7 linked regions of the Macaca fascicularis genome follow. The protein of the gene in region 1 interacts with the protein of each later gene in a biochemical or structural test. Links are inferred from orthologs where the notes say so. Each region holds a gene or a part of one and is shown on either strand. Other genes may lie near its edges. The genes, in order: DLG4, KCNA1, CYSLTR2, KCNA5, LRP2, KCNA4 and NET1.

Region 1 (3,140 bases):
ATGCCTGTACTCTTAACACTGTGGGAGGCTGAGCCGGGTGGATCACCTGAGGTCAGGAGTTTGAGACCAGCCTGGCCAACATGGCAAAACCCCGTCTCCACTAAAAATATAAATACAAAAATTAGCCAGGCGTGGTGGCAGGCGCCTGTAATCCCAGCGACTCGAGAAGCTGAGGCAGGAGAACCGCTTGAACCCAGGGGGCGGAGGTTGCAGTGAACCAAGATCGCACGATGGCACTCCAGCCTGGGCGACAGAGTAAGACTCTGTCTCAAAAAAAAAAAAAAAAAACATTTCCAGAGACTAGCTCTGTCCACAACTCCATGAACATGAATGAATGAAGTTTCCTCTCTATTTTCCTTTAGGGACTGTTACGCTACTCAACAGGGCTGAGACAGCCCAGCGGGGATCAGAGCTGGACTAAGTTTGCAGGGCCCCAGACAAGTTCCAGCCTCCCGTCTCCCTCCACACCCAGGTCCCAAATAACCAGGCCACACACCGAGTTTCAAGTATCTGTCTCTTCCTTTCACTCTCTCAAAAGAAAAAATAAATAAATTGCAGAAGGCGGCAGCATTTCCAGTCTTCCCTGGCTCCCGGACACCCGACCCCCGACCCCTGCCCCCCACCCTCCCTCCCGCATTTCCCACTCCCTAGACCCATCCCTCCCTTTTCCCCAAAAAAAATTCCCAGGAAAAAAAAAAAAAAAAAAAGCCACATTTAGACCTTCCACTCATGCAAACCGGCAAAGAAAAAAGGTGGGGGCATGTGGAAGGCAGGGGCCCACGGTGGAGTCCCCTGCTTCTCCCCCCAAAAAACCACCTTTGAGAAGAAAAAAAGTGGAAAAAATAAATGAGAAATCAAGGGACATGGGGAATTGCGATGAGGGCAGGGGTGACCCCAGACCCTGCCTCAGGAGAGAGCGGAGGCCTGTGGCCCTGCATCCCTGCAGCGGGTGCTCCTCGAGGGGGCCCTGACTTCTGGAATGTGTGTGGGAGAAGATGGGGGAGGGCAGGTGGCCCCCGTGGGTCTGTGTGTGCATTGGGGGCGGGCGGGGGCGGGGATCCTAAGGAGCAAGGGCTCGGAACCAGGAGCCCAGCTCCCCACCCAGACCCCAGGTTCCTGGCATTCAGGAGCCCAGTTCTGGGGTACGGGGATACATGCAGAGGAGTGTCCCCCCTCCAATAGGCTGGATCCAGTTAGAAAGGAAATAAATAAGAAGGGATGGGAGGGAGGCCGGGGGGAGCCAAGGGCTTGGGCAATTCAGTCCAGACCAAGGGCCCAGGTGATGGAGGCAGGGCGAGTCCAGGCCAAGCCAGGGCAGGAATCAGAGTCTCTCTCGGGCTGGAACCCAGATGTAGGGGCCTGAGAGGTCCTCGATGACACGCTTCACCTTGTGGTAGATCTCCTCAAAGCTGTCACCCTCCACGATGGCTGGGAGTGGGGTGGAGCAGGTAGTAAGGCCAAGGAAGGGCCAGAGGACACCTGGCCAAGGGAGTGGCACCAGCCCAGAGGAAGGGGCACCTCTTTCTAATTCTCCAAGCCATGAGCCATGAGGCTGTACCCGCCCAAAGGGGCACCTCTTTTTTTTTTTTTTTTTTTTTTTTTTGAGACTGAGTTTCACTCTTAGTGCCTAGGCCGGAGTGCAGTGGTGCGATCTCGGTTCACTGCAACCTCTGCCTCCAGGTTCAAGCAATTCTCCTGCCTCAGCCTCCTGAGTAGCTTGGATTACAGGTGCCCGAAACCACGCCCTGCTAACTTTAGTATTCTTACTAGAGACAGGGTTTCATCATGTTGGCCAGGTTGGTCTTGAACTCCTGACCTCAGGTGATCCACCTGCCTTGGCCTCCCAAAGTGCTGGGATTACAGGCGTAAGCCCCCATGCCATGCCCACAGGGGCACCTCTTTCTAAACCATCCACTGGGAGTGGCGGGGGAGCTCTTTCTAATCCGAGCAAAGGCACCCTACGTGCTGGCGACAGCCTTGCTGTGGCCTCACCTGAGAAGCACTCTGTGAACTCCTGCTCCAGCTTGGTGGCTCTGTCGAAGGCTTTGCGGGCTTGCTCCTCTGTGATCCGCTTGTTAATCTCTCTGTGAAGAGGGAGGGAGAGCAGGCCTGAGACTGGGCCCACCTGACCCTACCTTTTACCTCCTCTATCTAGGAATGTTAAGTTACAACTAGTATTCTTCTATTTGGAGCACATAGCAAAAAAAAAAAAAAAAATACAATTCCCAGTATCCTCTGGGGCCACAGATGAGACCCCCACCCGCAACCGCCCCAGCCAGGTGTGGCTACTCCAGGGACATTTCCAGAGCTTCATCCTTCCAGCCTTCAGCCCCAGAGATGGGATTCGGACTCCAACTCCCAACAGCCCCGGAGGCCCTGACTCGTCCCAGCTGGTATACCCCAGGGGCTGCTGGGAGATGTAGTCCCGTCTAGCCCAAGGCAGGAGAGGAGGGGAAAGGCCCGATTCCCCGCATCCTCTGGGTTCCAGGTCTCCTGGATTCCAGGTTCTGCTGGGTTTCAGGAATCCCCCTCTGGGGTTGCTGAAACCGCTGTCCAGCGTTCTGAAGGGAGAGTTGACTGCAGAGGCCTAGTGAGGCCCAGGGCCACATGTGTTGGGGGAGCAGAGGGGAGGCCCCCAGGACTATACTCACAGCACATTCTCCAGGGAGCGGGGGCGAATGAAGATGGCGATGGGGTGCAGGTGGGCCGCCTGCAGCCGCCGCACGGCATTGGCCGAGACATCGAGGATGCAGTGCTTCCCCTGGGGGCAGGCAGGGTGGGCGGAGGGGGCCAGCAGGTGGCGGGAAAGGACAGACAGCAGTGCCGGAGGGACATGGGACGGGGAGAGGTGGGGAATGGGAGGTTGGCCGAAGGGGAGTGACGTGGATGTCAAGAAACACGGGGGCAGAGAGTCAGGCAGGAAGAGGGCAGGGACAGAGTAAAAGACAGAGAAAGGAAAGGGAGGATGGAGAGCACGGGGAGAGGGCAGGGACAGGACAGAATGGAGGAAGGGAGGAGCACCAGGCAGACAGGGACCCAAGAGATGGTGGCAGAGCCGGGGCAGCAGCGAGTGGGGCGGGGTGTGTAAGGCAGAGGTGACACAGGCCGGAAGGAAAGCCAAGAAAAAGGAGAAAGGAAGT
Region 2 (4,233 bases), on another chromosome or scaffold:
ACTGTCAGAGGCTAAGTTAGGGGAACTGACGTGGAGCAACTGAGCCTGCTCTTCCCCCTCAGTTTCTCGGTGGTAGAAATAGTTGAAATTGGACACAATGACAGGTACGGGCAGGGCAATTGTCAGCACACCAGCGATGGCACACAAGGAGCCCACGATCTTGCCTCCAATTGTCACAGGGTACATGTCACCGTATCCTACAGTGGTCATGGACACCACCGCCCACCAGAAAGCATCGGGGATACTGGAGAAGTGCGACTCAGCTTCTTCCGCCTCGGCAAAGTACACTGCACTAGAAAACAGGATGACGCCGATGAAGAGGAAAAAGATGAGCAGCCCTAGCTCTCTCATACTAGCTTTGAGGGTCTGGCCCAGGATCTGGAGGCCCTTAGAGTGGCGGGAGAGCTTGAAGATTCTAAAAACCCTTACCAAGCGGATGACCCTGAGGATGGCCAGCGAGGTGGCCTGCTCGCCCTTCTGGTTTCCTTCCTGCTCAGCTATCTCGGTGCCCAGGGTGATGAAATAAGGAATGATGGCCACAATGTCGATGAAGTTCATGATGTTTTTGAAGAAGTCCGTCTTGCTGGGGCAGGCGAAGAAGCGCACCACCAGCTCGAAGGAGAACCAGATGATACACAGCGTTTCCACGATGAAGAAGGGGTCCGTGAAGATGTTGGAATTGTAGATGACCGTGGTGTTGTCGATGCGGTGGACGGTGCCCGTGAAGTCCTTGTCATCCTTCAGCTCGGGGAGCGTCTCCAGGCAAAAGATGACGATGGAGATGAGGATGACCATGACGGAGACGATGGCAATGACCCTGGCGGGCCCCGAACTCTCGGGGTACTCGAAGAGCAGCCACACCTGGCGCTGGTACTCCTTCTCGGGTAGAGGACGCTCCTCCTCCTTGATGAAGCCCTCGTCCTCCCGGAACTTCTCCATGGCCTCCTCGCCCAACTCGTAAAACTTGATCTCCTCGGAGAACATGTCCAGGGGCACGTTGACCGGCCTCCGCAGGCGGCCCCCCGACTGGTAGTAGTAGAGGATGGCGTCGAAGCTGGGCCGGTTGCGGTCGAAGAAGTACTCGTTCCTCAGGGGGTCGAAGTAGCGCATGCGTTTCTTAGGGTTGCCCAGCAGCGTGTTGGGGAACTGCGCCAGGGTCTTGAGCTGCGTCTCGAAGCGCAGCCCGGAGATGTTGATCACCACGCGCTCGCAGCACTCGTGGTCGTCGTGGTCGGTCTGCCGGGGGTAGCTGCCATCCTGGGGGTGGCCCGGGGCGGCCGAAGCCTCGTCCACGTTCTCCCCAGACATCACCGTCATGGTGAAAGCCGGGCGCGGGGGTGGGAGGCCAGGAGAGAGCCCGGGGTGGGAAACAGCCAGGGACCAGGGGTGGGGGGGGACCCAAGCGGCCCCCCCACCGGAGTGCGCGTCTCCCTCACGCCCAGGGGGAGGGGCTTCAAAATGAGCAGGTCGGGAGATCTGCGACTTTGCCTCTCGCTGCCTTCCCCTCCACCCTGCCTTGTACTCAATTTGGAATCCCCCTCGCCTGCGGGCCGGGTGCCGCTTTTTGCAGAGGGTCGGGTTTGGATTTGGGGGTTTGTTGGCTTTTTGTTGTTGTTGTTGTTGTTGTTTAGATATTTCTTCCTGATCCCAGGTGCCTTAACGCAGTGCCGTTCTAGCGGACTGGGCCATGGCTTCGGGGGTCGCCCTGGCCTCCCCTCCCCTCCGAGAGCCTTGCTAGGACCCGGTGCAGTGCCAGCTCAGCAGATCCCCATGCCTGCCACCCCCTCTGCTTCTCCTCGGCTCTCCCCCCTCCTACCCCTCTTCGCCTGCCGCCTTCTAAGCTCCCACCAGGGCGATCGATGGACGCTGCAGAGAAATAGAAAGTGATACGGGGGTAGAAAATCAGAAGCATTCGGATGGGACGGACCTACAGACACCGAAGAACACAGACCTCTAGCTCGGAAAGCACTGGACGTTTACTAGGGCTATCACACACACACGGACAGACGACACGCAGACACCCGGAAATCCAAGTTTGGGGCTCTTCCATCCCACTTTCCCCAATGCCCAACAGCCGATCTGTTTACAACTTCGTTAAACTAGAGATCGGAAAAGCGCCGAGAGACGCCGGGGGAAGCTCCGGGTCCCAGGCAGCATCCCCGCACCCCCGGCCTCCCCCACCCCGTCGCCCCAACCCCCGCTTCTGCAGCCCCGAGCTGGGGAAACCCCTACCTGGCCGGCCGGCTTGGCGCAGGGGCGGTGCTGAGTCGGCGGAGAGCCCGCGTGGGAATGCGGCAGGTCGCCTTTGCAGTGCCCTGGCGGGAGCCGCGGCGGCCGCCGCAGCAGCATCCGAGACGCGCCGGGCAAACTCGCCGCCCTGGTCCGCTCGTCCGACGCCCCTCTCAGTTGGACAATCGCTTTACCGAGGAGCTACGGCGAAAATGTTCATTCCCTACCCCCATTCTCACCGGTTGCCAGCAACCTGGAGACGCCGTCCTCTCTCCGGTGCAGGGAGTTCCGGAGGATGCGGGGCGGAAAAGCAAAATATCACTCTTTCCCGAAGCTCAGAGGCAAATGACGATAAACAGCACTCTCGCCCCCTCCTAACACTATGGGAGCCCTTGATTCGATCCCGAAGGAGGCGGGCGGGCAAGAGCCTGGATCTACATGGCTCTCCAGTTCCCTTCGCTCGCCGCACCCCAGCGCGGACCTCGCCAAGGCTACGCGGCGCGCCGGGAGCCCTCAGGAGCTCGGAGTGGAGCAGGGTGCGTGCGGCGGCGGGTCCGCTCGGTCCATTTCTGGGCGCTGCAAGATCAGCAGAAACCTGAGAAAGCGCCTGGAATACAGAGCAGCGATTGGCCCACCCGGGCGTGGGTTGGGGAGGGCGGGGGAGGGCAGGCGCGAGGAGGTGGATGGAAAATATGAGGGGGTGGTTTGGAAGAGAGCGGGGTTGTCATTCAGTTCCCACCCTTGCCAGCACAGCTTTTTCCTCTCCTACCAGAAAAGCCGACCACTAACTCTACTTCCCTTGTGGCCCACCGCCCCGCCCACGCACGGCCCCTGGCGGCTCGCGACCTTCCCCGGGAATTTCACATTGGAAATGGTCAGGTCCGACGCAATGCAGGCGGTGGTGTTTCTGGCAAAACTCCTCCAATGGGTTTGCTTTTGTGCAGTCCCACAGTAACCCTCTTCGATCGCACTGCTCTGCGCCCCATTCCGCTCCTCCCCCAAGAAGGCCCTTGCTCTCTGCGGGGCCCTCCCAGCTTCCCCCCGCCGGCTGGACTCTCAGAGCTGCAGACTTTAGGCAGAGCTGTGCAGTTGAGGATCCCTGGGTTTGTTCCATGTAGTTTTACTAGGCGGCGATGGTGCTAAGAGCCTGTCCCTCTTTAACCTACGATGGGACTTGAAGTTTTCTTACAATCCGATTATTCTGAAATACAGAGAATGTGACTTGTGGGGGACCGAAGGCTTCGTGGGTTTGTGGGGTTGTCTGCCAACTTGGTGCTAATTGGGAATAATCTGAGAAGCAAGTCGCCTACTCACCTCCCACCCTATGCCCCTCCTCCCGTAGCCTCTTTCCCCAGCCTAGTGCCTCCACAAGGCCACTTTCAAAGCTTGCAATTTATTCGGAAAGGGTCCCCCGCAGAGGCGCATGGCAGCAGGAGCTGGGGGCGTGCGCCGTGCCCTGCGAGTGCGGCTGGAGCTGCGCCCCCAGAGGCGCTGAGTCTCCGCGCCTGCAGCTCGAGAAAAGGCTGCCGGCAGTTTGGTACTTCCAGGGCTGTGGAGTCTCTAAGGAGGCTGCAAGAGCCCAGAGTCGCCGCTGATTGGCTCCTCCCTCGGCCTTGGGACCACCCTTCTCACCACTGTTGCCTCCCGCCTACACCACCCACCTCCTTAATCAAAGCCAATGATTGCATCCTCCCCGCTCTATTGTGGCTAGTGGAAAGCAGGGGCCTCTGCGGGATTGCCCAGGCAGTGCAACAGTCCCTGTCTGGAACTAGTTAAATCCTTCCTCCAGATTCAGACGCCAGCATTCCCTTCAGAAAAACAAAAGTGTATGTTCCGTCCCCTCCTTCAGATCCATACCCCAGCTTTTCTTTCATGAACAATGAGTTATCTTATACTCCTCCTTCCCATGTTGAACTCTGCCCTTTTCCCACCTTCCACACGCATATCCTTCAATCTCAATAGCTCCAGGGATCCCTACCTTTCTGCACTGCTGCTCTAATGCAA
Region 3 (4,017 bases), on another chromosome or scaffold:
GTGCATAGAGCAAACTATAGAAAAGCAGAAAGGATCCTTGATTCTGGAGTACACAGGAAATCTTAATGATGCCCAAAGTAACCATCATGTATTCATGTACACAGCAATGAGTAGTACACTGAAAAAATATATCATCTTTCCTCCAAAACGGAGGCTGCTCATGTGATCCCAGGTGGATGGGAGGCAGAGTGATATAATGAATGAAACCATGTGCTTTTGAGTTAAAAGGGTCCTGGGTTTAAGTTTCAACTCTGCCTTTTAGTCTCTTTTATTACTGCAGCCCTCTGAGCTTCAAACTCTCCTCTGCCAAAGGAGCACTGGAGTGAGTACTGATGAAAAAAAAAATGGATGTGAAGTGATTAACTTGGTGCCCAACACACACAAAGAATTCAGTCAGTACTAGCTGACAATCACAATAAAATTTGTGACAATAACGTACAAAACTCAGAGAATTAAATAGCAGCCTTCTTTACGGCCAAGTAAAAGATGGGGCCATTTCATCCGGAGAAGAGCCAACCAGAAAGACATGAACAATTCTATTTACTTTCCTTTATTTTTATTACACAAGTAGTACATGTTCATGGTAAAGAAAAATTACAATGTAATACAAGCTGAAATAAACTTAAATTATGAACTTTACCACCAACCAGACATATCTAAAATTTCACATATATGCTTTTTTTCATCTTTCTTGAAATATATGAAAATATTTTTAAACAAAAATAAGCGCATTTATAATACTGTTTTATATCTTGCTTTTTTCTTATTTCCATGCCATGATCACCTTTCTTTGCCAAATAACAACATCAATGTCATCATCTAACTGGCTACAGAATAACCAATTATATAAACATTATGAAATATGTTTAACCAATTTCCCACAATAGCTATTATTTAAGTTGTAAGAATGGACCATGTGCCCTGGGCTAAACCAGATTGGACCAGTTCTGGTTCCACCTGGAAAAGATCCTATGTTCTCTCGGTCTCATCTTTACCATCTTTAAAATAAGAATTACTCCAGTTCTTAAGGCTAGTATGTGGATCAAATGAACTGATGCATGTAAACGTGTTTTGTAAAGTACTATGTGAATGTTTACATTCATTAATGAAGGTACTAAACAGGTGTTCTCCACTGAGTCAAAACAAGAAGAAATTTGATTAACATGCTGTTGGTCTCGTTGGGATGATTCCTGGCCTGCAGCAGGCTAGGAGTGCAACAGCAAATGCTTCAATGTGGTTTAGGGGCTCTGGCTCTGTTTTCAGTCCCCAATGGGAGAAACCAGAACGCAGCCCTGGCATAAACTCTGTCCACTTTCCTCCTGAGGACATGAGGTCCAGAGAAGGTAAGTGCCATGTCTATGGGGCTCCTGAAAGCCAGAGTGAGCCACCTTCTGCCTCCAAATCCAATGCCATCGATCTTCACTGTGCCCACAGTGTGTTAGTGACTGGCCAGCTATTAAATGCCCACCTTGTGTTTAATCTTGAAGATTGCAAAAGAAAGGAAGCCTGGCTGCCTTGGCAGATTCTAGCAGATATGGGCGTGATTCAGGTACATTCAGAACATACGACAGCCTCAACTTCTCTAACTTTTAACCATCGAAGCACTGGAAACAAATCCACCTCTTTAAAACATTAGTAAATCGAAACACAAGTAGATTCTCATCTCAAGAGTTTATGTGGCTGAGGTAGATAGAAATTTCTAGAAGTCTTATGTTTCCCCCCAAATTATTCTGTAATTTGCATTATGTATGTAGTGTTGAAAGGGAGATTTGATTGGATTGCCTGAAATTATACCTCCCTTTCTCCTAATACATATTACTCTCAGGTATATGTCAGAGACAGAAAAATATTTTGAATGACGTAGGTCATCTGTTTTTATGCCGACCACCTATTAGAATCACCTGAGAAGTTTCTGGAAAACAAGACAAAATACTGCAGATGACTTGCTGATCTCTAAAAGTTAAGCTTCAATTATTCTAGGGGTAATTTTCTAATCTCCTCAGAGTCAGGTGATTCTGACTTGATGTGCAGCCAGAGTTGAGAAACACTGGTTAGGGTCCCAGTGGGGTAAGGAACAGATTATATGCTCATGATCTCACATACTCTTTCACTCTCATTGTGCCTCTAAGCAAAACCATTGAAACATATGTGCTCAGATTCAACTTCTTCTACCTCTAAAACAAGACCCTGAATGAAAAAAATATATCTTATATAATAAAAGGACCCAAACTATGAAAAATAGGATAACTGCTATACAGCTAAAAATGGAGGAAGTAAAGTTCCTCAATGCAATATTATGCAGCAGCTTTAATTTATGATTACAAAGAATTCACAGCAACATGGAAAAACCATAGACTGAAATGCAGGAAATGAATATAAACGTGTCCATAGTGCAGGGACGCAACTATGAAAACTAAAGTTATATGTGCATATACACATTCACAAACACGCACACACACACACACATACACACACACACACACACGGAAAACCCCCAAAATATCAATAGAGGCTATCTTGGTGGAGAATTTGGCTTCCTTTAACATTTTTGTACTTTCACAGTATTTTTTAAACTACCATGTACATGATAGGAAAATAATATTTATAGTAGAACAAAACAAATTTACTTTTCAAAAATTACTCCTCTATTACGTGATCTTCAAGTCATGATTCTCAACACTGAATTAACAAAACAAAGATTAAAATGCCCACCTGAAGTTCTCTGTCTTTCAGCTGCCCTGGCTTCTGCTGCCTCTATCTCTTCTGCCTTTCTCCTCCAAGTAATTCGGATTGCTCATTTAAAAGAAAAGGGAAACAGCAAATTATATTTATGAACAGTGCCAACCAATAGCAAGAAAGTCAGGAAGTGTAGCAGGTCATCTGTGCTTTTTAGAAGCCAGTATAGATGTCAGTGCAAGATCTCTTCTCAAGAAGGGGGAAGATTTCCAGTTAAGGGCTACATCTAAAAAGAAGAAACCTAAAATTGCCCTGCCCCTCTAATGACTGGTTTTTGTCATTATCTTTCTCAAGAGAACAAGCGGATATAATGGGTTAGAGTCAGGGATTTTAAGTGGCTTTTAGTTCTCCTGAAAGGTTTCTGTTTCCATGGCAACAGAAATAGCAACACTGCCTTACACACACAGCACTTTAGATTTGTTTAAAGCACTTCCCTCACTCACTTATATTTTCAATTCACTTGCACTCCAGCAGAGACCTTATCCACTCTGCTGAAAATGTTCTGTCAGAGGTTACCAATAACCTTGTTGCTCACATAAAAAATCCTTTCTCAGTCCTCACCTTCCTTCCCGTCTTGTTTGCATAGTTGACCACTACCACTTTCCTGAAACTTCTTCCTTGTTTCTCTGACTTTCCTGGTTCTTTTTCTCCCCCTCAGATTGCTCTTCTTTGCCTCTCTTTCTGATGCCTCTTCTTCCATCCCTTTTCTACATGTGAGCTTTCCCCAGAGGTCTGTGTTCTGACTTCTTCCCTCCTTCTCTTGCTTTTATCTATCTGATGCACAATCATGGCCAAATTTAATGTGACCCAGATGGACCTTTTCTCTTCCCCTCTTAGTCCTGCATCCCCCCATCTACCCTGTCTAAACAGTGGCACCACAATAATTTAGCCCATCCATAAACCTAGAAGTCACTTTTAACTTCTCTCTTTCTTCCACCACCCACTTCTGAGCCAACAAGTTCCATTTGTTCTGCCCATAAAATATGTCCCAACTCCAACCATTGCTGACCTCCCCATCACTGTTCAAATCCTCATTTCCTGGATAGAAAGCTGCAGTAACATTAAGCAAGAAAAATACATAAAAGGGATCCAAATTGGAAATAAATAAGTAAAATTATATCTGTCTGCAAATGATAAAATTTTATACGTAGGAAAACCTGAAGATTCCATACACACACACACACACACACACACACACACACACACACACACACAAAACCCCAATAGAACTAATAAGCAAATTCAGCAAAGTTGCAGGATAGGAAATCAATACACAAAAAT
Region 4 (3,977 bases), on another chromosome or scaffold:
GAAACAGACAGTGACAGACTATTTTTTAAAATGTCAGAAAACATATCAGCTGCAGAAAAACTAACACTTGCCTCAACAAGGTAACCTTTTATTTCCTGGGATTAAAAATAAAGAGAATAAATTATCAGAAGTATTCCTCCAATATCATTCAAATGCTTTTTGAAGAAAGTTACAAGAATTGTTTAAGGCGCACAGAAAAAGTCAGATTTGCCTTTCTTCAAGAACATTCTCTGCCCTAGACACAAAGCACCAATACCACATCCCGGAAAAGACAGAGGCTTGGAGACACAGGAACCAGAACAGCCCATACCAAGATCTCTGGCTCTAATATAAGTATCACAGAAAAACATCAGGGCAACTCTTTCTTCCATAAATACAACATGTATCTTGAAAATATATCCAAAATATCTCTATCTAAACTACAGTACAAAAAGCCACTTACCAGGCATAAAAATAATATTTTCCCCTATACACAAATGTAATCATATGTAAAGCAAATTTGGAACACATGGATGGAGGAGTTACGTAATCTCTTGGGATCTGGGCTATTTAGAGTCATTTTTGTTTGGGTTATCCCTCTGCGGGGTATAGGAGACTGGCTACAAATACATCCATCTCACAGCGCTTACCATTTCAACAGCTCCTGCGTCATGGAATGTGGTACTTTTTAAAAATAGGTGACCCTTGGGTGTCATGGAAAGAAGAGAGAAAATGGGGGGATTGAGGGAGGGAGGAAAGGAGTGAAAGGAGAGGGGTAGACTGAGGTTACAGTGTGACTTCAAATACTCTGCGGTATAATGTAAATATCCATGTTCAGCAAGCCTTCCATTCCCTACCCCACTGCCACCAGTCTGCCTGAATCTCCTTTTACAAATCTGTTTCCCGGCTGGTGTCCAGGCAGAGGGCATAAAGGGACCTCCGCAAGTCCACGTTGCTCTTGGCCTTGACGTTACACTTCTCTAGGGGGCAGCTGCTCCTTCGGGCACTGTCTGCATTCTCCAGGGTCCCCCCGGCCTTGCAGAAGGATCCCCTGCTCCCGCTGGACTCCTGGACCTTCCGCTGGACTCCTCTGTCCAGCCCCGGCCCCTGGCTCTGAGGGCCCTGCTCTTCCTTAAGGACTGCCGGCTCCTCGTGGTCCGTCTCCCGGTGGTAGAAGTAGTTGAAGTTGGAGACAATGACGGGCACAGGCAGGGCAATGGTGAGGACCCCGGCGATGGCACACAGCGAGCCCACGATCTTGCCCCCCACGGTGATGGGCCTCATGTCCCCGTAGCCCACAGTGGTCATGGTGACCACTGCCCACCAGAAGGCATCAGGGATGCTAGAGAAATGGGTCCCCTGGTTGTCAGCCTCTGCGAAGTAGACGGCACTGGAGAAGAGGATGACCCCGATGAACAGGAAGAAGATGAGCAACCCCAGCTCCCTCATGGAGGCCTGCAAGGTCTTGCCCAGGATCTGCAGCCCCTTGGAGTGGCGGGAGAGCTTGAAGATGCGGAACACCCGGACCAGGCGGATGACTCTGAGGATGGCCAGGGACATGGCCTGCTGCCCATTCTGGCTGCCTCCTCCGCCCCCTGGCTGTTGCTCTGCCAGCTCGGTGCCCAGGGTGATGAAGTAAGGGAAGATGGCCACCACATCGATGATGTTCATGATGTTCCGGGAGAACCCTGCCTTGCTGGGGCAGGCGAAGAAGCGCACGAGCAGCTCGAAGGTGAACCAGATGACGCACGTGGTCTCCACGATGAAGAAGGGGTCGGCCAGGGTCCTGGGCAGGAGCGGTGCCACCGTAGGGCCAGAGGGCGGGGCCATGACCCCGCTGCCGTTGGTCCCAGGGGCGGGCGCGGGAGGCTGGTGGGGCGCTGGGGGGTGGCGGAGCAGCTCGCGTTCATCCCTGAACTCGGGCAGGGTCTCCAAGCAGAAGGTGATGATGGAGATGAGGATGACCAAGACCGAGACGATGGCGATGGCCCGCGCGGACCCAGAGCTCTCCGGATACTCGAAGATAAGCCACACCTGGCGCTGAAACTCGTTGCGGGGCAGGGGCTTCTCCTCTTCTTTAATGAAACCCTCATCCTCGCGGAAGCGCTCCATGGCCTCGTCCCCCAGCTGGTAGAAGCGGATCTCGTCCGCGAACACGTCCAGGGAGACGTTGACCGGCCTCCGCAGGCGGCCCCCCGACTGGTAGTAGTAGAGGATACCGTCGAAGCTGGGCCGGTTGCGGTCGAAGAAGTACTCGTTCCTCAGGGGGTCGAAGTAGCGCAGGCGCTTGGCGGGGTCGCCCAGGAGGGTGTTGGGGAACTGCGCCAGGGTGCCCAGCTGCGTCTCGAAGCGCAGCCCGGAGATGTTGATGTGGACGCGCTGGTGGTGCAGGGACGCCGTGCCCAGAGCCTGGTCCTCCACCGTGCCCAGGCCGGGGTCGCCTTCTTCCTCCTCGTCCTCGGGAGGCGGCCGTCGAGGCTGTGGCAGCTCCTTGGGCAGCGGAGGCAAGGGCCGCACTCCCGGGTCCGCGTCTCTCTGCGCGCCGCGCCCCTTTGGCGCCGGCTCCTTGGGCCCATCGCTGAGCCCAGCCGTCGGGGGACACTGGAGCTCTCCCCCTGTGGCCTGGCCGCAGCCTGCCCGGGCCTCATCGCCTCCTCTGACGGTCATGGCACCGCCGTTCTCCAGGGGCACCAGGGCGATCTCCATGGCGCGGGAGCAGCGGGCATGCTGCGCCCCAGCTGACCTGCTGCCGCGCCCCCTACTCACGCTCCCCGGGCACCTCCCGTCAGGCTCCGCTCCCGCGGTCGGCCGGCCCCTCTCTGGGGCGAGCTGGGGTTGCTGGCGCGATCCCCTCGCTTGGCCCTGACGTCAAGAAGCCGCTGCCCTGCTCTCTGCCTCTCTCTCTTCTGGCAGCCCGTTACCAAGCAGCCGAAAAGCCTCCTTCCAGCAGATGCAACCTTCAGCCGTCCCTCTCTGGCTGCGCTGCGCTTGGCCTCCACCCTCGGCGCCTCCCCCGCCTTCCCCTCTCCCTTCCCCCTCCTCCTGCTTCCCCTCCCCCTCCTCCCGCTTCCCCTCCCGGGTCTTGTGGCAGCCAGTGTCTCCCCGAAGGGCGCAGCTGGTGCCCCTAGCAAGGGAAAGGAGGGGCTGAGAGGGGTGCAGCCCAGCGGAGGGAGGGAAGGAGTGGGGAGGATGGAGGAACAGGTTGTACCGAGAGCGCTGAAATTCCCAGGGCAACCAGATGAGAATAGCTCTGGATTTCGGTTCACCTGGGAACCCGCTGGAAGCCGAGTGGACTCCAGGGGGAACGAAGTGCCTTGGGCTAAAGGGAAGAGGCTTTGAGCTGAGTCGGAGTATGAGAGACAGAGACAGGAGACACCAGTCCTTTTTATTTTGGAGAAATAACGGTATTTCTTTGGGAAGAATTACAGAAGGGAGGGGGCCCACGTAGTTTCGGACCTTGAAATACATATATCAATGGAGAAGCATCTCTCTTCTCGTCTTCCTGCAGCTCCACAAAAATGTACTAGAGGGTTGGAACCTTGCAGGATTCGCATGCCCTAGCCTGTTTCCAGTATGGACCCAGTGGCAGCCCAGGCAAGCAGCCTAGTCAGTAGATGGGCTGTCTGGTCTCAACCCAGCAGAACCCCTGCACCCTCTCCAACGAATCCCATTTGCAAAAACCACACCAGGGGAGGGGAGAAGAGATTTTTACAATCCTAGTGAAGGCTAATCCTGTCTGGTGAATCTTGGAGCTAACAACTGCATCTAGGTCCATGAAGGAGGCAGAGGGTGGAGGTGGCTTATGAGAGGGAGCCAGGGAGGCTGTCCAATCTCCAAGGCTGGAGAAATCCCAAGAGTGGAATAATAACAACCAATACTTACTTCGCTGTTATTATGCACCAGCCCATTCTCAGCACTTCACAAATATTGTCTCTGCGTATTCCTACAGCAACCTGTTTTGTAAGTACTGTTATCATCACCATTTTACAAACGAAGAA
Region 5 (3,500 bases), on another chromosome or scaffold:
TTTAAAGTGCCCATTTCATAACCCTTAAAGAAATAATGGGTTTATGGAACAACTACCCATAGATGTTAAAACCATTGGGTGAAAGGAGGATGGGAGTTTCATAAGAGAAGATTCAGGCTGACGCCAGAATCCACTTAAAGTGGGGCAACCCAACATCATGTGCCTCATGAGGTGATGCAACAGGAAACGCACAGCTCCACCTCTGAAACACTCTTACCCAAAGAATTGCACCTGTTACGATCAAAACTCTAGGTCTAAATACCAGTTCATAGGAAATAAGAGGGATAAGATAAATTAAATGGATCAATTATGCAATTAGTCAAATCCAGAATGTGAGATATTCTACAGGACAAATCACCCAATCTTTCTAATGAATCAATGACATTAAAAAGTGGGAAGTGTTGTGGCATAAAAGAAATTGAAGAATTATAACAATCAAAATCAATATGTAGATCTCATCTGAACCCTAACTTGAACAGAGTAACAGTAAAAATACATTTTGGGGATAAGCGACAAAATCTGAACATGGACTAGGTACTCAGGGATATTAAGTAAGTACTGTTGATTTTGCCAGGCATTATAACAGCATAGTAGTTGTTTTCCAAAATATTATCAGTGAAGTGCATGTCTAGGAGTCACTTTAAAATACTAGAAAAAAGGAGAGAAAAATGAAACAAGATTGGTAGTTGTTGATACTTGCTACCGTGCCTAGCCAAAAATTTACATCTTAGATAAATACTTCGGTTTTATCTTTTTTGGAAAGCCTTTGTTTTTATATAATAATTTCATCTCCCATGATCCAAGACTTCAGACCCAAAATCACAATAAGCACTTAAGATAAACTTACGGCAATTTTTCTCATCTGAAGTGTTATTATCATGGCAGTTGTCTACACCATTGCAGACAAACTCACGAGGTATGCACCTTCTATTATTGCACATAAACTCCGTGGTGGCATTGCAGTCCCTGAACAGGCACCCTGCCTCATCACTGCCATCACCACAGTCATTGTAGTAATCACAGCGGTAAGAGTATTGGACACATCGCCCATTGGCACAGGTGAAGGCTGTCGGTGAGCAGGTGTGAAGTGCTAAGAAGAGGAAAAACATGAGAACAAACCCTCTTGATTAAAGCATTATCCTAATTTTTAAAAAGATACAATTAAATAAAAGGGACACTTTGAATTTACCTTCCAAGGCAAAAAACGCTGCAAAACGGACTGCATGCAAAGTGAGATAACACTTTTAATTAGTTAGATTAAGCAAAATATGTTGCATACCTTTTTTAAATAAATTGTTTTATGTACAAATCAAGTAATTTCAGCACAAATCAAAGTCATTCTCTCGATAATCTCAATTTATCTAAATCACAGAAAAGCAAGCAATTATAGTTTATTTCAGGAAAATAAAAACTCCTAGCCCCTATCACAGTCTGCTAGGAAAAGGTAACCAACCTCAGAACTCCCTGAGAAAGTCCACTGTGTTTTACTCACTCTATTCAGATGGAAGCTGAGGATTGGAAGTTATTTTCATAAAATTATTGAAATAATGACCTTTGTGCTATGAAAATTAGTAAAAATGATACATTTCCTTAGTCCCAAGCTAAGCCAGGCTTAGCATGCACCATGTCTCATGCTAAGGGTTTTTTACATATTGTTTCTCTTACTCCTCACAAGAACCCTAGTAGTAGCTCCATTTTACAGATGAGACATCTGAGGCTTGAGATATTAAGTAACTTTCCCAGGGCTATACAGATTACAAAATACAATCACCAGGATGATGACTGTGCTCATGCTCTTAACCACTACAGGGGTGATTTAACAGAAACAGTCTGGATTATAAGAGCAAACATGTTTCAGCTCTACCAGGATGCCTAGGCACACAGTTCGAACCCATTCACACACAGCTGGATTCCGTACCAAACACTTGACATCAAGATGCCATTAGCTCCTACCAAAAGCGCCAAGAGCCCAACTCACCACAGACACTTTCCATCTCATCACTGCCGTCCCCACAGTCGTTGTCATTATCACACTTCCACTCTTTCGAGATGCAGCGCCCATTGGAGCAGGTGAAGGAAGATGCACCACATCGTTCACCATTGTCCACAATGCAGTGCTTCCTGTTATTGGCCAAATACCAGTTGCCCTCATGTGGACACTGGCACTCAGCACCATTTGGACCTGAAGAAAGATAATCCCAGAAGAAGCAAAAGATGGATGCAGCCACCGTTCACATTGTCCCCTACACAATAGCACTTGCAACAGCTTCTACATTAAATGCTCCCTAAGACAAGCCATGGAAATTCTGCCCATTAACCTTTTAACTATATTCTGAGTTACTTTTCCATCAAGAAGAGCAATCACCAATTTCTAATAAATGTGCCGATTCCTTCTAAACAACAGGAAATATCAACGTCTCTTCTCAGCAAAATTTGCAAAGCAACAACATCAAAAGGCACATCTTCCCATGAATTTGCTGTTCTTTATAAAATGCACAATGAAGCACATATGATCCCACCCGCAAATACCACCAGAAATATTTCAAACTATAAATAATACCTCTTAAGCAGAAAATGTACATCCTTTTATAAGGAAGGCAAGCTCATTGACAGAATTCCTAGTCAAGACATGAAGCTGGGCAGCCAAGCCCTTCATCTTTCTTTCTAACTCCATCAAGCTTGTATTTAAAATGCCTTCATAAGCTGAGCACTGTGGCTCACACCTGTAATCCCAGCACTTTGGGAAGCCGAGGTGGGCGGATCACTTGAGGCCAAGAGTTTGAGACTAGCCTGGCCAACATGGTGAAGCCCCATCTCTACTAAAAATACAAAAATTAGCTGGACATGGTGGTGTACGCCTGTAGTCCCAGCTACTAGGGAGGCTGAGGCAGGAGAATTGCATGAACTCGGGAGGTGGAGGCTGCAGTGAGCCGAGATCCTGCCACTGCACTCCAGCCTGGGCGACAGAGTGAGACTCCATCTCAAAAATAAAATAAAATAAAATAAAATAAAATAAAATAAAATGCTTTCATAAAAGGGCTCCATATAGAATAGAAAGGAAGCCTGCCAAGTCTTCTTCTCAAAATATAGTCCCAGGTCTATTTTATAAATTACCCTGAAATCAAGGAGAATTTGAATTTTTTTTCTCCTGTGAGAACTTCAGCCTTCCTTACCAATTGTATTGTGATCATTATTCTCCATGTTTTAATTTTCATGGTCAATGCCTTACCTGGTGCACAGATATGGCTGCAGCCCCCATTAAACTGTTCACAAGGATTGTTACACTGTTCTTTCTGGTTCTTCACAACAGTGTTGATTCCCCTGGGCTGGGAGAGCAAATTTGTGGTCATTGCAATCTGACCTGACCCGTCATATTTGTTAGCTCGGTAAATTCTTTGTGTGTACAAGTCAGTCCAGTAAATATACTGGCCATAGAGAGTCAAGCCGAAAGCATGAACGGCTGCATTGACAATGACTTCACGATCCATGCCCGTCAGAGT
Region 6 (4,080 bases), on another chromosome or scaffold:
TCCTTAGGCCACTAACTAAAGTAGGGGAAGATGGGACATGAGGACATACAGTACATCCTGAGACTCACCAGTGGCCGTCGTTAAGTTGGCACTGCCTGGCTCCCTACCTCATGTCCCCATTGTTTTTCTGTTCCCCTGAATCCTGAACACTCTCTACCACCCACAGGCTAGGAACTAATGCCAGTTTCCACATCTCTAATAACCATCTTCTCTCTTTGGCGGTCGCTCCATGTTCACCTCAATGGTTCCTCCTCCACTCTGCTCAAGGTGCTATCTCTTATTTTTTAAAATGTCAGTTTGTGTGAACTTCATTCTTAGCCTATCATACTTACCCCCACTTCAATAAAATCCACATCCCTAACATCCCTCGTCCTCTCTCTCTCTCTCTCTCTCTCTCTCTCTCTCTCTCTCTCTGCCCACTTTTATTTACAATCTCCCACTTCCGAATTGCATGTCCCTTGCAGTTCCAATCTGCTCCCTCTGTCACCTGTTATTCCTGGCCCTTCTTCTTCCTTAGTTTGCTCTCCCAAGATCCAGGTAATTCATCTCCTCAGCCAGGTCCTATAAAAGCCCCCATCCAAATCTCCTGTCTCCTCTTGATTTTTCCATGTACTCTGTTCAACAGGACTTCCAAGAATGCAGGGAGTAACCCAGAGAACTGGAGAGAATGATGATAGTCAGAATTCAGGGCATCTACCAGCTTCTATTACTGGAAGCACTTGGAAAGCATAAGAGAAATGGCTTTCTGAAGCCATTAACAGGATTCAGCTCTTGACCACCTGCTGCTCCTTGCTGATCCTGTCAGCCTAGCAGCCTAAACACACTAAATTTTATGAAGTGACAAGCATGGAAGTGGCAAACAGAGGTCTTCCCAATCATACACCCCTTCCCAATCATACACATTTTCCTAGGGCAAGGAGGGCATTTGATTGCAACACAAACTCCAGAAAATACACCACTGAGGGCCTCTCACATGCCATCTCCCTTCTTTGCCTTACTCCTAACATCATCTCATACTCTGAAATGTTTACCCCCAAGGAGTTACTAAATCCCTACTTACAAAACCATCCTGGGGTGACATTCACCGTGGAGTGTCAGGCCAACATCCTTTCAAGACTGGTACAGACCAAATAGCCTGAGAGTTTGCTCAGTTTCTTCCCCAACTCCCCCAAAACAATTATAATTTCAATGAAGCCCCAGTGTAACCCAAGTTCCTGTATAGTTGAGTACTACACACACCTACCCTCCCACCCAACTGACTCCCAGAAGGTCATAAATTAGAGAGTCTTCTAATTCACCATCAGCTCTTCGGGAGTTCTAGAACTGCCCTCTTTCTGCTCTACACCAAATAATTTCACATTTATTTATTTATTTATTTGGGATTATTTGTCTTTGTTTATCTAACTCCCTCCTCCACCCTACAAGTAGCAAATTGCCTTCCTTTTAATCATCTACTAGTTATTTCACTATCCCTGATCTAGAAAAGGAGAGAGAAAGAAAAAGAAGAGAAAAGAAAAATCATTCCTCCCAGCAAATCAGACTGGTTTAAAATCTCTCTTCTTTCTCAGGGTACTCTTGTTAGTAGAATCTATTCAAGCCAATTTCCAGGAGCCTTTATGATATAGATCTTTGCAGAGGAATTTGTCTTCTTCTTTAACACCATTAAACTAATAGGATTTTGCAGACTACCTATTCCCCAATCCCGGCGCCCCCAAACAACAGCCAAGCATCCCACCCCTCCTCCTCTCACCCCTCCAACAACAAGGCTGTTCGTCTCTCAGTGCTAATTCCTGCAACTGTGTCAGTGTCAGGGTGGTACCCGAACCTTAGAGAGAGAGAGAGAGAGAGAGAGAGAGAGAAGAAAAATTGAGAGAGGGAATCAGAGAAGCCAATACCGTGAGAAATATACACTTCAACGCACGCCATTTATGCAGCCCCTATGTATGTTGCTCAAATGCTCGGAAAATGCACGCAAATCCAAACGTTGGGAGAGGCAGCAATTCAGACTCGTTCACCGGCTGTTAACCGGTGCGGCTGGAAGGAGGTGAAACGATGCTAAATCTTAACCCCCCTCTCGTTGGGAAACGACATCTTTAATCGCGCCGTCGCCTCCAGACCTCGGTTCCCGCTCCAGCACGTTAAGCAGGGCGCACTCACCGCATCCCCGGGGTTGGGAAAATAACAACTGTTGGCCCCCTGGAGCGCCGCGCAGCATCCGCACCTCCCTTCTCCCACCTCCTGGTTTATTTTTAACCGCCTTCCATTCATGCCCTTCTGTCACATTCCCGATATTATTTATCCCTCAAATGTCCACTGTTTCTTAACAGCCAAAAGAAGAAGGTGGAGGAAATATTTAAAAAAAAAAAAAAAAAAGGTATCATACTTACCGTTCCCCGGCGGGGCGAAAAATAAAAATAAAGAAAATCCACCGGCTGGCTTGTTTTTCCCCCTCAAGCTGCAACAGCTGGAGGAGGGGAAGAATGATCTTGGGTGAGGGGGGTGGTAAAAGGAATCACTCGGGTTTGGCAGGTGGAGGGTCCAAATATCCACGGAACAAGTTCTGTTGCCTGGCCCGGGGGGTGCACAGGGTTCTCGCGGCTGGAGTCTGGGGGTGGGGGTCGGGGCTGCCCCAGAGAAGACCCCAAGGCTCCTGGTTCCTCTGGAGTTCAGCACAGGAGGGATTGCCTGGGAAAGGAAGTCAAGGTTCCTCCGAAAAGAAACAAAATCCTAGACAGCAGCGATCACTTGTTAAGCCCGAATTCCTCCTCCAACATCCATCCCTCTCTGGCTCTCGCTGGCTGCGGGAGCAGCACACGCCTCCCCTGGCCGCGAACGCGCGCCGGGCGGGGGCGGGGCCAGGGCCGAGCCGAGGGTGTGGCGTTCGCGACGGTCGCCAGGGGCGCCTCCTGGCGCGGCGGGGCGGGCGCAGTCACGACGCCGCGACTCCCCGCACCCCGGCTGGGCCCCCCGACTCCCAGGATCTGGGATCAATTCCAGGAGTCTTTGGCTCTGGTCCCCAGAGGCGAGGAGCAAATCCTGGAGAAGTGTCCCCGTTGGGGCCGGAATAGGGGTTTCGACGGCAGCGCGGGAGTCCCCAGAGGGCTTGGGAGCGGGGAGCTCCAATGGGAGGTGCAGTCCCGAAAATGGGGTCCTTTGGGACATCTCCTCTCCCTAACTTGCTTTCTCTATATCTCCCCTCTAGCCCCGTCTTCTTTTCCCCACCCCACCCCCTCCCAAAGCGGGTTTGTTGGGTTGGGAGGCGGGTGCATCTCCGGCGAGGCCGCTGGCGGGGAGCCCTCCTGTGCCTGCCAGCGCGTGCAGATCCCTCAGTCTCCGCCTCCCTTGTACACAGTAGTTGAGCGGCTTCAGCGCCGGGGTTGGGCCTCCGGGGCGCGGAGGAGACCGACTTTCAACCTGTGTTCAACCCCGGGCAGGGGAATGTTACAGAAATTGGAATCAGGCCCAAGCTAGGGGCTGCGCACGGGAGGCAGCAGTCCTAGGGGAGGAGGGTTGGAGAGATGAGTAAGTGGCTGGGTGGGCCAGGGGCTGGGGGCTTTGGAAGGCGGGGGAAGAGCACGCAGCCAACCTGTTGCTGCAAAAAGAAATACGCCTCTGGTACCGACTCCCTGAGGGCTCTTTGGATCCTTCGGGATAGAAATCAAGGGAGATCGCAGCAAAATACAAGTTTTTTTGATTTTTCTTTCTTTCTTTTAATTAAAGCTTGTGCGCACAAGGGAGCTAACACCAAGAAAAAAAAAAGTGGGCTGTTCCTCGAAGTCAGGGTGTGGTTTCCTTTACGGGCCTCTGCCGTAAGGGGAAATAAGGGGAACTATAGGCAGGGCATGTAGAGGTGGAGTTTTTCTGGTGCATGCATAGTGGTTTAACATGCTTCTTCACAGGACGTATGTATCATTAGCATCTTAAATCTCCACGTCTGGGCGTGATTGTTTGCATTAAATTAAGGAAAAGGTCACTGTGAATTGAAAGTTAAACCTAGCTGTGCATGCCAGGGCCTGGGACAAGTCCCTCGTCCCCTAAAGCGGAAACTTCTGGTTAATAGCTTCTTGGGCTTTTCATGCT
Region 7 (4,148 bases), on another chromosome or scaffold:
CATTCATATGCGATGTCCAGAACACAGAAATTCCTACAGACCAACAGATTAGGTTTTGGGGCAGAAGGGGAACAACAGCTAAAGGTTATAAATGCTCTTTTTGAGGTGATGAAAATGTTCTAAGTAGTACGATTTAAGTGGGTAAATTGTACTGTACGTATTTGTCTTTCAAATTAGTTTATAGTGAGTTTTGCAGAACATTTTTTAATAGTCACACAATCATATACACAAATTTTCCTTATGATTTCTGAATCTGATACAGCCCTTAGTTGTTTCTTGCCTCACAATTAATACTATCTTGTAATATTTTACATATTCTTGTAGATGATCTTACCTCTTTTCTGGAAAAGGAATGTTAGTTATTTAATTCTCCATTTTCCCTCCATGGTTCTTCTGTGTCTCACTCTCCTCATGTTGCCTGTGTTACTACGCTTTTCTCAGAATAGATCATTTCCTACCTCACACAAAAAATAGAGGCCTGGTGGGAAAGTCCTCAAATTCCTGCTCACGACACACCCCATTCTTCAAAATTATGTACCATCCATAGCTTCTTGTTAGGCTAAATCCTCCACCTTGAATTTGGATTCTATCCTTTTCTGCCTTCTTGGATCCTTGTTCAACCATTTTTCTCCTCTACTGTCTGTTCGACCTCTCCCTCTATTTGTTAACTAAGCTCAGCACATCAAGTTTATTCTTTTTTAAGAGTCTATCCCACAAACTTGTGTTATTTCCCTCTATTCTTCTTCCTTGTCTTCCTGTTGCAGTGAGACTTCTCTTCACCAATCCCATTGCCAGCTATCAGATTTGAACAATCATCATTTTTCATTTAGACTACTGCAGACTGATTTCCTACCAATCCATCATCTAAACTTGGAAATTTTAATTTGGTATACACGGCTGAGTCCACAAATCTCCTGAAATGTTTATGTATATGAGCACGTTTTTGGGGAATAGTTTTCATAAAATATTAAGAGTGAGATGAGTCCAAAATGTTGCTTATTTTTCTCATGGAAGACAAACTGATCTTCTAAAATGCAAATATGTCATGCTATTGGCTCATTTAAAGTCTTTCAGTATTTCCCCACTACCATGAAGATAAAACCCAAACTCTGTCAAGGCATACAAGGTCTCTTCATGATGTGGCTCTTACCTCTTTAGCATAAATCTCTCATGACTACCTCCTCCTTCTCCCTATACTGGTCTCCTCTCCTCTATACAAATAGTATTGTTAATATAGTAATAAAATAGAATATACACCCAGAACTCATCAGACCCATTTGCTTCAGGGTCTTTCTACATGCCTCTCTGCCTGAAATCACCCATCTACATCTGCTCTCTAAACTGGTCCTCAAAGACTCAGGATTACAATAGGAAATCATTTCCTGTTCTCTCCAGTCAGGATTAAGTGTTCCTTTAAATCTATGGCATTCTATATTCTATAATATATAGAATTCTAATTCTATATTCTGTAATAACTTTTATCACACATTATAATTATTAACCTACTTATCTTTCTTCCCTATTAGATTATAAACCTTAAATAGTAAGAACAGTATTTTTCCATTTCCATATTCCTAGTGTTGGCACTCACATTATTTCCTGAACAAATCGCACATTCTCTTCTCAACCTGTTACAAAACACTCTAAGTTCGATATTGTAACCATTCTTGGAAACCATCTAAGATCAATACTCTCTTCTCATTACCAAATTTAATTTTCATTCCTCATCTAGCTTAATCCTCATATTTTACTTAATCCTCATTTTTATTTGACCTGTCAATAACATCTGACACAGCTCATCACGTCCTCTTGAAATCCTTTCTTCATTTGGCCTCCTGGATACTGTTCTCACTTGGTTCCCTTCCTCCTAATTCACCAGCTATCCCCTGAGCTTCGCTCTGTGAAATTTCACTGAGCCAAACACGAGTCATACACTCTCATTTCAATGTATACTTCCACAAAAAGTAAAAAGAAAAAACACGAAAATGGTTGTGATGGAAATAGGCATCTCACAACTTATCCCCTAGTCTTTTCATTCTCAGGACATGGAACCCCATTCTCGTGGTGCTCACCATGTCAGTTTCGGTCTGAGTAAAGTCATTTGGGAACTCCAGTCTACAGCCAGTTGGGTGTGGAGAACAAAACCATTGTGGCTTTTCCTAAGTCTCCCCCTGAGAAACAGTCAGGAGTAGAGGAGACTCAACAAGCCCGCCCCTTTGCCACAGGCAGGGAAAATCGCAGTTGGGAGTCTCAGGACCGACCTCAGGCCAAGGCCAGGCACACTGTCACTCCGGCCTGTGTCACCCTCATCTCCAGCGGCCCCGGTCCTCCCCCGAACCCCGCAGTCACCTTCCCCACCCCCCACTTACCTCCCAGCGGCCCTCGCCTCCCCCTGGCCCTCACCAACCCCCCCATCCCCCCCATCCCCCGCTCTCGCTGCCCCCCACACCCAACTCACGGCCAGCCCTCCCCTCCCCCCGGCCCCTGCCTCCCCAACACTCACCTCCCGTTCGGCCCTCCCCTCCCCCACACTCACCTCCCGTCCAGCTCCGGCCCAGAGGTGTCTGCCGAAGGCCCCGCCACTCCCTCCGTGCTGAGCCCAGAGGCCCGGCGGCTTCGCCTCCGCGGCCGGGGCTGTTTCTGAGCCGCCAGCTCGGGCTCCATGGCACGGAGGAGGGGGTGGGGCGGTGGCCGGGTGCCCAGAAGACCGGCAGGGACGGGCACGATGCCCGCCAGCCTCTGCCAGGCAGAAAGCGCCTGTCAGCGGACTGCAGCCGCCACCGCCGTCATCCGGGGATTTGAAAATGGCGGCTGCGCAGCGATCAGCCAATCAGTGAGCGCGCAGCGGTTCCTAGGAGACGTGGAGTCCCGCCCCTTCGCCGCTCCCGGGATCCACTTGCCTAGGAAAGAGCCTAGGAAAACTTGACATTAACTGTTGAGCGCATCCCTGAGTCCCCAAGGCCCGATACCTCCTTCATTGTTCATTAGGACTTTCACTGCAGGCCAAGGCAAATGGACTGGAAGCATTTTAAGTCATCAGATCTTTCTTAGCATTTGGGGAGAAGAGAGGTCCAAAGTAATGACCTGTAAACAAGGCTTGTTTATTGGCCATATACACACTAAATTACTGTGCACGTGGCCAATATGAGATATATTTCCAATTACCAAAGATTATACAAGTGTGTTCCCAGGGCTGTCTCTAGGAAACAGCAAAATCTAATTTTGAGCCCTGGTGTCTTCCAATAAGGATACACAGTCTCTCCTTACCAAAACGGAATGAAGTAACTTCATCCTTTGCTTGTAAAAAGTCAGCAAAAGACATAATACAAAATAAAGGACGGCCTCAAGTAAAAAAAAAAAAAAAATTGTTAAATTACACGTTCTTTGAATTTAAATATTGCTTTATATGTGTCAAAGTCTTTAAAATAGCTTCTCCTGACCGGCAGTGGTGGCTCACGCCTGTAATCCCAGCACTTTGGGAGGCCGAGGCAGGCGGATCATGAGGTCAGGAGATCAAGACCATCCTGGCCAACATGGTGAAACCCCATCGCTACTAAAATACAAAAATTAACTGGGCATGGTGGCACATGCCTGTAATCCCAGCTACTCGGGAGGCTGAGGCAGGAGAATCCCTTGAACCAAGGAGTCGGAGGTTGTAGTGAACCAAGATCATGGCACTGCACTCCAGCTCAGCGACAGAGTGAGACTCCGTCTCCAAAAAAACAAAACAAACTTCTCTTTTGGCACTATATTTCAACTTCTGGAAATTTATCCTAAAAAATAAAATTATATAAACATGAAGCTATTAATGATATTGTTTATAATAGAAACATTTAAGACAACCTAAATAAACAATGATTTACAGCTCATCCACTGAGAAGAATATTTTCAGCCAACAAAAATGAAGTGTGAAGTGTGTAATAGTATACTGGTAATTTGAAATAAAAACATGAAGTATAGAGATATATTCAGTATATTCAGTTATGAATTACAAGACATTATACAAAGGAAAAAGATAATGTCAATGTGTTAAAATGTATTAAATGTATTAAAAAATCAATGTATTAAAATGTCTCTAGGTAGTTAGACTTCAGGTATTCAAAATTTTTATTTTTTGCACTTAATTTTTTTTAAAATAAGGACATATT

The links.
Region 2: the proteins of DLG4 (region 1) and KCNA1 form a complex in vitro, tested with the Homo sapiens proteins (3 studies listed by BioGRID and IntAct, with this or other methods). The link is inferred for Macaca fascicularis from reciprocal best matches to the Homo sapiens genes DLG4 and KCNA1.
Region 3: the proteins of DLG4 (region 1) and CYSLTR2 interact in a biophysical measurement, tested with the Homo sapiens proteins (2 studies listed by IntAct, with this or other methods). The link is inferred for Macaca fascicularis from reciprocal best matches to the Homo sapiens genes DLG4 and CYSLTR2.
Region 4: the proteins of DLG4 (region 1) and KCNA5 form a complex in vitro, tested with the Homo sapiens proteins (2 studies listed by BioGRID and IntAct, with this or other methods). The link is inferred for Macaca fascicularis from reciprocal best matches to the Homo sapiens genes DLG4 and KCNA5.
Region 5: the proteins of DLG4 (region 1) and LRP2 form a complex in vitro, tested with the Homo sapiens proteins (2 studies listed by BioGRID and IntAct, with this or other methods). The link is inferred for Macaca fascicularis from reciprocal best matches to the Homo sapiens genes DLG4 and LRP2.
Region 6: the proteins of DLG4 (region 1) and KCNA4 form a complex in vitro, tested with the Homo sapiens proteins (8 studies listed by BioGRID and IntAct, with this or other methods). The link is inferred for Macaca fascicularis from reciprocal best matches to the Homo sapiens genes DLG4 and KCNA4.
Region 7: the proteins of DLG4 (region 1) and NET1 interact in a biophysical measurement, tested with the Homo sapiens proteins (2 studies listed by IntAct, with this or other methods). The link is inferred for Macaca fascicularis from reciprocal best matches to the Homo sapiens genes DLG4 and NET1.

What each region holds. Positions count from the first base shown.
Region 1 is NC_088390.1:7,237,284-7,240,423, forward strand, and holds the end of DLG4 (disks large homolog 4), read right to left. Parts: intron 2,762-3,140; coding exon 2,652-2,761; intron 2,085-2,651; coding exon 1,993-2,084; intron 1,429-1,992; coding exon 1,322-1,428; 3' UTR 501-1,321; downstream 1-500. UniProt on the Homo sapiens protein: Postsynaptic scaffolding protein that plays a critical role in synaptogenesis and synaptic plasticity by providing a platform for the postsynaptic clustering of crucial synaptic proteins.
Region 2 is NC_088385.1:5,789,115-5,793,347, reverse strand, and holds the start of KCNA1 (potassium voltage-gated channel subfamily A member 1), read right to left. Parts: upstream 2,801-4,233; 5' UTR 2,233-2,800; intron 1,867-2,232; 5' UTR 1,318-1,866; coding exon 1-1,317. UniProt on the Homo sapiens protein: Voltage-gated potassium channel that mediates transmembrane potassium transport in excitable membranes, primarily in the brain and the central nervous system, but also in the kidney.
Region 3 is NC_088391.1:27,793,166-27,797,182, reverse strand, and holds the start of CYSLTR2 (cysteinyl leukotriene receptor 2), read right to left. Parts: upstream 2,801-4,017; 5' UTR 2,713-2,800; intron 1-2,712. UniProt on the Homo sapiens protein: Receptor for cysteinyl leukotrienes. The response is mediated via a G-protein that activates a phosphatidylinositol-calcium second messenger system.
Region 4 is NC_088385.1:5,921,385-5,925,361, reverse strand, and holds KCNA5 (potassium voltage-gated channel subfamily A member 5), read right to left. Parts: upstream 2,801-3,977; 5' UTR 2,686-2,800; coding exon 868-2,685; 3' UTR 68-867; downstream 1-67. UniProt on the Homo sapiens protein: Voltage-gated potassium channel that mediates transmembrane potassium transport in excitable membranes. Forms tetrameric potassium-selective channels through which potassium ions pass in accordance with their electrochemical gradient.
Region 5 is NC_088386.1:64,769,324-64,772,823, forward strand, and holds part of LRP2 (low-density lipoprotein receptor-related protein 2), read right to left. Parts: coding exon 3,230-3,500; intron 2,183-3,229; coding exon 1,979-2,182; intron 1,091-1,978; coding exon 848-1,090; intron 1-847. UniProt on the Homo sapiens protein: Multiligand endocytic receptor. Acts together with CUBN to mediate endocytosis of high-density lipoproteins. Mediates receptor-mediated uptake of polybasic drugs such as aprotinin, aminoglycosides and polymyxin B.
Region 6 is NC_088388.1:35,540,402-35,544,481, reverse strand, and holds the start of KCNA4 (potassium voltage-gated channel subfamily A member 4), read right to left. Parts: upstream 2,801-4,080; 5' UTR 2,388-2,800; intron 2,191-2,387; exon of another isoform or gene 1,896-2,190; intron 1-1,895. UniProt on the Homo sapiens protein: Voltage-gated potassium channel that mediates transmembrane potassium transport in excitable membranes. Forms tetrameric potassium-selective channels through which potassium ions pass in accordance with their electrochemical gradient.
Region 7 is NC_088383.1:6,348,167-6,352,314, reverse strand, and holds the start of NET1 (neuroepithelial cell-transforming gene 1 protein), read right to left. Parts: upstream 2,801-4,148; 5' UTR 2,665-2,800; coding exon 2,537-2,664; intron 1-2,536. UniProt on the Homo sapiens protein: Acts as a guanine nucleotide exchange factor (GEF) for RhoA GTPase. May be involved in activation of the SAPK/JNK pathway Stimulates genotoxic stress-induced RHOB activity in breast cancer cells leading to their cell death.